Linked DNA regions of Caenorhabditis elegans. The protein of the gene in region 2 purifies or fractionates together with the protein of the main gene of each other region. This does not show direct contact. Each region holds a gene or a part of one and is shown on either strand. Other genes may lie near its edges.

Region 1 (4,932 bases), on a different chromosome or scaffold from region 2:
TGGTGTGACGCAAGCAGAAGATATAAGATACTAAAATTTCAGCTTCAGCTTAAGGTATAATTTTTCGAAGCTCTAGAACCATTTTTTTGGAAGCTCTAGAACCATTACCAATTACTGACACAAACCTCTCTGGTCCTTGATGGAGATTTATCACTACGAATTCGAATTCTTACGGGCGTCGGAACATCTTGAATGTTCGTAGCAACAGGTTTTGAATCAACTTCCTTTTTATCTTCTTTCGTTTTTTCAACATCTTTTACTTCTATTCCATTAATTTTGATAGATGACACTACTTTTTTGATTGGCTCTACTAGAACTTCTGATGCTTTTTCAGGTTGTTCTATAGGTTTGATGATTTCAACATCTTCCTCCTCATCTTCTGAACTTGTATCCACCAAATTCGGAACGCCCCTCGGAACTGCTGTCACGGGGGTTGATTGGAAGTTATCAATCTTTTCAGTAGGCTCTGTAGCTTTTTGAACTTCAGGAGATTTCTCAGTTTCGAACGTCTTGGTTTCTTCTACTGAACTTTTCTTAATAGCAGAAACTCCAAAAGACGCCTCCATTTGAAAACTTCTGGTCAGTGGTTTCATCTCTGGAGATACTGACCTCGATTCCGATCTTACCACAGTTGCAATCTCCTAGAATTTTAGAATTAGAGCTATAGCATATATGAAGTAATTTTTTGAAACTGACTTTTCTGGCGGGTAATGGTGAACATTTTGGTGTAACATCTTTGCTAGGAGAGTTGCATACAGACGCACGGGGAGTTATTGAACTCGCTGAGCTTGCCTGAAAATAGAAATTAAATAGTTTTTAGTAATAAATTACCTACCCTTCTCAACCCTTTTGTTTGATATTTTGACAACACATCATCCTCGTCCTCTTCAGCAATTGAATCATCATCATCTTCAGCTTCACTTTTTGATTCAAAACGTCGAGAAACTTTTTCTGCCAAAGATTCGTCGTCTTTTCCTCCAACTTTTGATAAATCTGGTTCACTATCCGTGACATATTTCCTGTATAACTTTCGGAAAGTGCTTTCAATTTCGTCTACTTCATCCTGAAGAAAATTGTTGTTTGATAAAAATTAAGTCATCCACGTAGGTTACATCATCGCCCGGCATATTGCACACATGTGTCAACCTGCGGAGTGTAGGTCTCACAATCAGTACAACTAACGATATTTAGCAATTTTACTCGGTCTCGCCACGAAAACAGCTTATTTTAATAATGGTTTATCTCTGCTTTTTTTTTCGAATTTTTTAAATGAAATTTTGTTAAGAATTACCGTTTTTGGATTTTAGAAAAGTACAAAGGTCAAAAAAGCGACTGCGGCAAAAAAAAATTCTAATCATAAACTTTTTCTCGTGGCGAGACACATCCGAATGAACCCGTGCGCCTTTAATTAAGCACTACACACTCTTCTTTCTTCACTTACCTCGTTATCGGTTGCTCTACTCATTGATCTGTAATCTCTGTCACTTCTATATGAGCTGGATGTGGATGTTCTTGAAGAATATACAGATGACGGTGTTTTATGGGAGTTTGAATATCGATTTGAGTTTCCAGAAGATATTGTAGATGAGCGCCGACTACTGTAGCTATTGTCTGGGCTACGGTATTTGGTTGAAGAGTAGTCAGAAGTACTGGATAGATCAGTGGATCTGTAGCGAGACAAACTTGGGGTGTAGGTTGAGGTGGAGGATCTGGAAAACTTTAATTTACTAGCAGAAGTTTCAAATAATACTTCCAATCATCAATGGTGAAAAAAATAAAAATAATATAGTTACATCCGACAACCGTTGTTTTTACTCACACAGAATTATCTGGTCGATATCTTGAAAAAGTGGATGATGAGGACACCGAGTCAGCTCGACTCGTTGGAGGGTCGTAGGCTGCAAAACATGTGTGAAACATCTGGACAGGATACAATTAAATTTTAAAAAAAAGACGAAATGACCAATCAGTTTTGGAATATCAATTACCTCCAATGCTCACACTTCCAGCTCGGACATTTCTGGGAGTGTATGATGACGTGGAATTACTAGAATTTCCGCCAGAAGTGATTGATCCGGCACGGTATGACGTCGGTCGATAAGAGGAGGAAGACGATGAGTTCAGCTGATCAGTACTACCATATCTGATATAATTTTGATACAATATATGAGGGAAAAGTTTATAAAAATTGTTTTTGGCTCACATTCGGGCCGTTTGATTAAGAATCTCGTGGGAAACCCCAAACATATTCATTAATTCTGTTCATCATAATTTCTAAAAAAATCAATTTTAAATTTTTGCATTCTCACAAGAAAAGTATTTCAGTTCGTTTTTAGACTTCCGAATGAATTGAAAACATTTCCAACTGGAAAAATGTCAAAAAAACATTTTCTTTTCTAGTTTAGAGGCTCGTAAAATTGTCCATTCGTGGATTTTCGCAGACATTTAATTTTATAGGTAGTTGAACAATCACGGAAGTTTTTGGAAATTTTCAATTTTTAATTAATAGATTTATGATAGACTAGGATCGATTTGAAAAAAGTTCATAGAGCTCATTTGCTGTTAAATTTGTTTCATTCGGAAATCTGAAAGTGAGCTGAAATTTCTTCAAAAGGAAATCAAAAACAATCTATCAGCACCTTTTAAAAAATGAATATTTGAAAAACACTGTAGTTTTTGATGAACTGTACAAATTCCGTTGGCATTTAATTAAATGTATAAGACAAACTTTACAAACCTCCAATTAGTTCATCTATTCTAATAGTAAAACAAAAGTTTTCATTTATTTGTTCTTGTGATAAAGCTCAAGTTCTAGTTAATTATTATATATTTAGAAAATTGGAAACTCCAATGAACGTCAAATTTCTCCAATACCCACCTGCTTGTATATGAACTGATTCTGGGTGTATAGTCACTATTCGAAAGACCACCACTTCGAATAACTGAACTTGCTCGATTTGTAGAAGCAAATGGATCGTATGATGTTGCTCTTGGCATTCTTGTTGTTGTTTTTGTAGTTGAAGGAAGATCTCGAGACTGAAATGTTTCAAAATATGCAACCTTTAAAATTTTAAAACGAATTATCGCGTTACAATTTATGTTTGAAAAAATATCAGCTTCATAACGTTTGAAAACTATTTCAGATTGGCATTTTGGCAATTTTAAAATCACAAAAAAACTTCCAAATTTTTTTTTAACTCGATAAATGCTATATGATAAAAGGTGAGAAAACAAAAAATAAGACGTTTTCTGAGAATGCGGGAGCCAACTGAGATTCTTTGAGTCATGGGAGGAACATCAGGTGATTGACAACTTTATCGGCTCTTTTCTTCTGCCAAACCACTGCCACAACATGAGAATGCAGTAAACATGTGGGCATGTTTTCAGTGGCTCTCATAGCTTGACATTTTTCAGAAATTTCATAATTTGCAATTTTTCAACGTAGTTTTGACTGTCAAATTGTGTATTTTTATCTAATTTTTAAAATTAATTTTCAAAATATGTTTGAAAATGTCGTATTTCAATTAAGATACGAAAGTTCCTAGATAATTTTTGACATAAAATAACCTAATTTCAATAACATACACGCCCCCTTTCAACTCCATAACATGTTCGATATGGTGCAGGATCTCTTGATGAAGATGTTGTTGATCGCCTCTCAACACTTCCACTTCTGTATCGTAAACTGGAACTTTCTCTACTTGAATATGACATTTGTCTGAAACTTGGTTAGAGTCAAAACTTTGGAAAATTTACAAATTTTCGTAAAATTTCTGAGAAACTCAGAGTTTTCTTGCATGTTCGAAGTGCAAAAATGTCAAATGTCAAAATATGAATAAGAGATGAAAATCAAGCGCAAAGTCAGGTTTTCAAACATCAATCTTTTTGAACGTTATTTGTTTAATCAAACTGTATAAACTTCAAGAAACTTTCTAGAAAAAAGAATGAAATAACGGCAAACCGGATATTTGTGGCATTATTTTTGCTTGAGTTGGATTTCAAGCAAAAATCTTCAATCATTTTCTAGCACGTCAAGTAAAAAGTAAAGCTTTCAAGCTTTTGCACCTCCTGATACGAATAATGAAAACATCATTAATATTTTAAACCTGCAGAAAAAATGGTTTTCCTGGTCGACTCTCAAAACTATGACCGATGAAAACTAAGTAATATCCACTTTATGGTGGTAAATAAACATATTTCAGATTACGCTCAAAAATATTTTATGACATTTGACAATTTGAGGATTATTAAAGTAATTTTAGCATTTTCCCCACTATACCATCTTTAATAAAAGAAAACTCAGTTTTCAATGTGATAAAGTGATATAAGAAGAATTGAACTAAAGGTGAGGGAGTATAAGAAACGAAATGAAATTGTCTTCTTTATCTTCCTGTCTCCTCCAGAACACTTTCCCTATCTTTTCAATTCATTTTGTGGTGCTCAGTGAGCATTAGTGCGATGTACAATCTTCAGAGACACAGAGACAAGACACAGGAAGGGGTTACAACCGCAATGAGCAAAATGTTTCGGACATTACTTCAAGATTGAAAGACGACACCTGACACAACACGACCTCTTAATGATAATATTGTTCAAAAAAAAAACTATTGGCATTTCAAAATGTACGATTCGACGATGGAATATCTTGTTCACACACTTTTATATATACCAGCCGTTCGCACACGCAAAGCGCGTGCTCCGACTGGCGTACGCTAAATTGTTTTAATGAATTTTAAAGTGCTAATGTAGCATTTTTGTACAGTTATACATTCTCCTGGAGTTTTGCGGACTTTCAAGAAAATTCTACAACTTTCCAGGTTTTTCTTTAAAAAATTCCCAGAACTTTTTAGAAAATTCTAGAACTTTTCGGATTTCTTCAAATTTTAAGCGCTTCCAGAATTTAATAATATAATTTTTCTAGGTGCTACAAGC
Region 2 (5,467 bases):
CTGTCAAAACGATACTAACGATTCCAAAACTCTTGCCGAGCTTCCATCCGACAGTCCTTCAACTTCAACTGCAATTCCACAGAGCACTCCTTACCAATTATTGAGTGAATGCTCAGAGACATCGGTCTAAGTCATCCAAGTTCACGAGGTAGATTTCTGTTAGTTCCGCGTTCAGTTTCAATATTCATGTAAACTTTTCTTCCACGACTTTGTAATTGCGCACCACCTTTCGTCCCATTCATTTTCAATATGAAAATCAATCAAAAGTTATTTTTTGCAATCAATCCGATTCTGTCCCGAGTTACTGGTACTTTCTTTGTGATTTGTATCCTTATGAATACTTCTTTTTGCATTTGTATTTTCCATCTTCCGTCTTATTGCTCCAGCGGTTCTAGTTGACAATTTGTTTGCGGGTTTGATACACATATACTTTTCTTTTTTCATCCTGTTCTCCTTTTCTATGTACTTTTTTCACATGGAAGTAAATCAATCAAATTGAAATGAGCATATTTTACAGATAGAATAAAATAAAAATAAAAAAAAACAAATGATGACATGAAATAAATAAATGGCATAAGTTAAGTGGCAATAGGGAAGAATACACTTAATTTTTTTGCTGGTGAGGTTGAATTCTGTTGATTTCTTCTCGAATTCGAGGTATCACATCCGGTGAAAATTTATGAATAGTTGGAGCAACGGCATCTGCAATTAGTTGTACTATAGAACTTTTTCAAAAACAATTTAAAGACTTTTAAGGCATCAACAGTGGAGAATCTCCATACAGAAAATAAAATAAATTAATGCAGCTTTGCTAAATCAGTTAACACTTTATATCATCGTCAGTACAAAAATTGATCTGAAGTCCTTTTTAAAATCTTTAAAAGTTGAAAACATTGTATAATTTGGTACATTTTCAGACCATTAAAGAATGAGCTTATGGGAAAATGAATAACAGTAATTTCTACGATGCTAACATGAAGTGCAGTGATGCCGGTTTTTTCGGCACCTACGTCGAAACCCTAATGAAATTTTTTGTCTAGAAAATATAGTTTGTAACAGTGATGCATATCACGTTTAATTTTAAATGCCAAATGGTTTTTTTTAGTTTTAGCCTAAAATGCAAAAACCAATATTCTAAATTTCAGCAATTATCTTACTCCCTCAAAAACTTCAGTATTGCTCCTGAAATCTTTATACATTCATGAACTCATTAATTGGTGTCACAACAAACCTATGATAGTCCGCCATGGGTCATTGTGTGCCATTTCCTTCTTTGTTTCTGCGAATGCACTTAATGCTGCAGAGAAGTAGTTGTTTGCCTGGTTTCCGAGTTCCGTGAAATTCAACGAGTTTGATTTCAATTGGCTGAGAATTGGGCTCACAGCTTCTAGTGGCGAACTGATCAATGGCGTTGGTGTAGCGAATTCAATTTCCGGTGGTATATGTGATGGTGTCTTTAGATACCATGGGGAGACGAACTAAAAAACAAATTGAAATGAATAAAGCAAATAAAAAACAAAACATACAACTCCTGGTGCCTTTGTTGGTTCCTGCTTAACTTCGTCATCATGCCAATTTATTTCAACTCTGAATGGTTGTGTAGAAGTCTGCTCAGCAGGTAACTTGAAATTAAATGCAACTGGAGGGGAGGATATTACTGTTTCCGTAGGTTTAACTGGTGCTAAAGCACTTGTTAAAGTAGACACCTGCAAAAAGATAACTTTTTTTTTTTGAAATTTTCACTGAAATAAGGGCACTAACCTGAACAGCGTCTACTTTATAGTTCCATGGAACGTACGTATGTTTGTCAACGACGGGAATAATTGTTCTGGTCGTTCTGATGATATCGTTTTTCAATGTATTTGGGTTTTTTGTGGTATACGGGTTTGGCAAAAACTTGTGCACAACTTTTGGCTTTTGAGTGGACGTTGGTTGGTTCATTGGAGCGCCACGTTCATCAACAATCACAGTTTTTATAACAGGTCCATTCGATTGAGAAGTTGTTGGCCGTGGTTTGAATTTAGAGTTTGGATCAGTTCTTCTCATGATTGGAAGACTAGTCCTCGTGACAACTCCGTCGATTACTGAAGGAAGTGCGGGAGGATGAACGGTTACATAAGTTGTGGAAGAAGTCGTTTGTGCCACCAGAGACTCAATAGGTAACCCTTTTTTCAATTCCGATTCCGGTTTTTTTCTTAGATCATATTGGCATTGCATTGGATATTCTTTGTTAGTTAAAACCTTTAATTTTTTTCTTTGTGGGAGGTTGTTAAGTTTAGACGGTACCTGTTGCATCTGTGCAAAAAATTGAGCAGCTTCTGCGGTACATTTCTTACCAATGTTGATATAAGTGCAAGTTGACACTTCCGAAAGTTCGATTTTGCTCACGCAGTCTGGTCGGGTACACATTTCTCTGAAAAGTGTGTTTTGTGACTTACAATAATCAAGTAATGTTTATTTTCTATTATTGCGGCATGTAGTACTCGTTTCCGGAATTTCCTCGACTACTAATTTTCGAGTGCTTAATTTAAAATGGAGAATATGACCATTCGCTTACAAAAAAGTAATATCTTAAATAGAAAATCATAAAAATTGTGAAATATCGTTACAGAAAACACGTTTAATTAACAACGTTATTAATTTAGTGCAAAACTATGAAAAAGGCTCATGAAAATATCTTTAAATTGTTGAAACTATAAGGATGCTTCTCGTAAAAAACAGGGGTGCAGTACTAATAGAGACTGAAGTACTACTGGAGTCTACGATACTAATTTTTAGAAGGCCTTGAAGGGTGCAGTATTAGTAAATATGCCTTACTACTGAAAAAGAAAAAGTACCTATATATACTTACCTGCATGATTGCAGCTTATCCGCAAAAACCGTATCATTTCTGTTACAAACCGATGATTGCGGTTCTGCTAGCACATCCTGAATGCATTTGCTTCTTCTCAAGAAGATCTTCTGTCGTTGTAGAGAAAATGGAGCACATAAATATGAATGTAACCTTTTTCCGCGCTCTAGTTGGGTTTTTTCAGAGGGTTTACCGCACTGTACCATTTTTTGATCAAAACACGGGAGGATGCGACTATAGGTTCTAAAACATGATTAGTTTTAGTTTGGTACTGGTTCTCCTAAATTTCAAACCTGCAAGTATGCATTAGCTTTGCTTCTGTCGTAATATTGAAAATAACTTCAATGGGATTCATATTGAAGTCAACCTAAATATGAATTTTAAAATTTTATTCCCAAGAATACATACCTTCTGAGCGCTAAGTTGCATTACACACGGCAAGAAATCCTTTAGTTGACAGCATAATGAAGCTATAAATGTAATCTTAAGAAATTGCTGTAGTAAACACCTCACCTGTGTATAAAATGCTGAAAAAAAATAATAACCTCATCAGTGGACTTCTGCTTATTAAAATGACTTCTTACACCCGCAATGAAACACGCCTGTAAATCTGCAAAATAAAATCATTGGAACATTGAAAGAAATTAAGCTATAAATGCCAACATCAAAGTACAAATGAAGTGCAAGCCGAATTGGAATGCGGTATGCACAAGTGTGGAATTATTTGGAAATGAATAGAATGACTCAGATTACACACGTGCGTGCAACCGTAAAACGACGGCATACCATCAACTACCGCGTGCTTCTCACATTGCTCGGCCCACCAAATAAAGGCAGACTTGAGAGGTGTTGAGCGGCTGGTCGCTTAGACAGTCGGGGTGGTGTCAATCTCAGCGTCTCGTCTGGCTACTTTCCATCGCGTTCGGTTTTGGCCCTACCTTTTTCTAGTTCCTACCGTAATGTCAATATTGTGTGGCAACGGGTGAGCAAGGAAATGCAGAAACCGGGAAAGAGGCGGTAGATCGACGGAAAGTGAGTATTAGGGTGTTGAATTGATTGCGTGCTCATGGCGCAGACGATACCTTGGTTTTTGATCGGACGCAAAATGGAGATGAGCGCGAAAAACCATGGCGTACGAAAACTATGTCGGGCTAGGCTGTCTGTCAGCTGACATAAGCTGTTAATGCACTGTTTGGCAAACAAACTTCAGGAAGTGTGAAATATGAAATTATCGCCTGATTCAATTGGATGAGTTTTGAGTTTTGATCTAGGTTTATCAGCGAAGAGCAAAAGTGTCTAATACACGGGATATTCTAAAATGACAAGCACAAGTTTCCAGTAGAACTCAAGTTTACCACAAAAGTACGTATGACATGAAATTTAATTTTAATAAAATCTCAATATTAATGCAGGTTTTACTTACCGATGTTTTTCAAGTTTTCATACTTACATATGAAAGGAAAATTCACTAATGGCTTCAATGGCAGTTTTTTAATACATATATTAGTTAAGGTATTAGTTCGATAGGTGCACGAAGATTACAAATTTGTTCCCATCGCCTCCCATCGACTCAAAATGTCTATTTACTATTAAAAATATGCACAATAAAACAAAAAAAAGCAAACAAACAAGGAAATTAAATAAAACCAAGAAAAATTTAGCAAAATTTAAATCTCAAAATAGGTATATTGTGATATTTTTTGTAATGTTTTGAATGATTATAAATTTTTTTAAACACATTTTCAAAAAGTCTCACTATGAGAGACTTTTTGAAGTGTTATGAAATGTTATCTATTGAAAACATGTTGGGGTACTGCTTATACACAAGTTACTTTTTTAATAACCGAAACTCGTTGGAAGGTCTTTCACAAGTTCAATATTCAGTCGGATATTCCAGTCTGAAATTATAATTGTTAAAAATCGAAACAGTTGAAATGATAATCCTATTGCTTCTAGTTTTACTCTTCACCTCTGAACTTCAGCCGAGTCATCAGCCGCACAGCCCTACTCTGAAGATAGAGATCAGTTTTTTTGTGCATTTCCAAACTAAGAAAAAGCAGGGATTCGTGATAATGTTGAAGAACCATCTCAACACTACTTACATGTAACCTGACTCTGTTCGAAAGTTGACCGGAAGCCCCCGGTACATAAACAACATGACCTTCCACCCGCCATGAGTAAACATTCCACTATTTCAGACCTCTCACTTTCTTACACACGCCCTTCAATCTCAATAGTGTTGAATGGAGGAAAACGGTCAGACGGGAACAGTAATGCTCTTTTGTATCCATATCGCCCCTTTCTGGGAGACGGCACGATTAGCAAACCGAACGAAGAAATTGGATACGGTAAAGTTGAAAAACTAGAGTATCGTTTTATTTTTAAAATAAATAATTTTTTCGAAATTTGAACGTTCAAAACGATCAGTAAGGCAATGACACATAAAGTTTCCATACAAATAGAATAAGAAAATAAAATATATTAAGATCATCTTTTTTTGAATATCCCGCATGATAAAATGTTCCGGAAGGCATTTCGGAATCTTTGGTCAAAAACTGTGTAGATCAATGGATTGAGAGAAGAATTGAGACTGAAATTAATTATTTAACAGAATGT

The links.
Region 1: the proteins of aaim-1 (region 2) and C32E12.4 fractionate together in Caenorhabditis elegans (co-fractionation; one large-scale study listed by BioGRID). This does not show direct contact.

What each region holds. Positions count from the first base shown.
Region 1 is NC_003279.8:5,238,879-5,243,810, forward strand, and holds the start of C32E12.4 (Ubiquitin carboxyl-terminal hydrolase), read right to left. Parts: upstream 3,037-4,932; 5' UTR 2,998-3,036; coding exon 2,879-2,997; intron 2,144-2,878; coding exon 1,989-2,143; intron 1,899-1,988; coding exon 1,820-1,898; intron 1,710-1,819; coding exon 1,442-1,709; intron 1,064-1,441; coding exon 836-1,063; intron 793-835; coding exon 697-792; intron 642-696; coding exon 174-641; intron 1-173.
Region 2 is NC_003284.9:6,558,966-6,564,432, forward strand, and holds aaim-1 (Protein aaim-1), read right to left. Parts: upstream 3,464-5,467; 5' UTR 3,402-3,463; coding exon 3,365-3,401; intron 3,322-3,364; coding exon 3,260-3,321; intron 3,219-3,259; coding exon 3,145-3,218; intron 3,095-3,144; coding exon 2,852-3,094; intron 2,414-2,851; coding exon 2,287-2,413; intron 2,242-2,286; coding exon 1,762-2,241; intron 1,707-1,761; coding exon 1,527-1,706; intron 1,479-1,526; coding exon 1,232-1,478; intron 703-1,231; coding exon 605-702; 3' UTR 501-604; downstream 1-500. Other genes in the region: Tyrosine-protein kinase receptor svh-2, read left to right, coding at 1-130; dop-3 (Dopamine receptor 3), read right to left, coding at 5,339-5,441.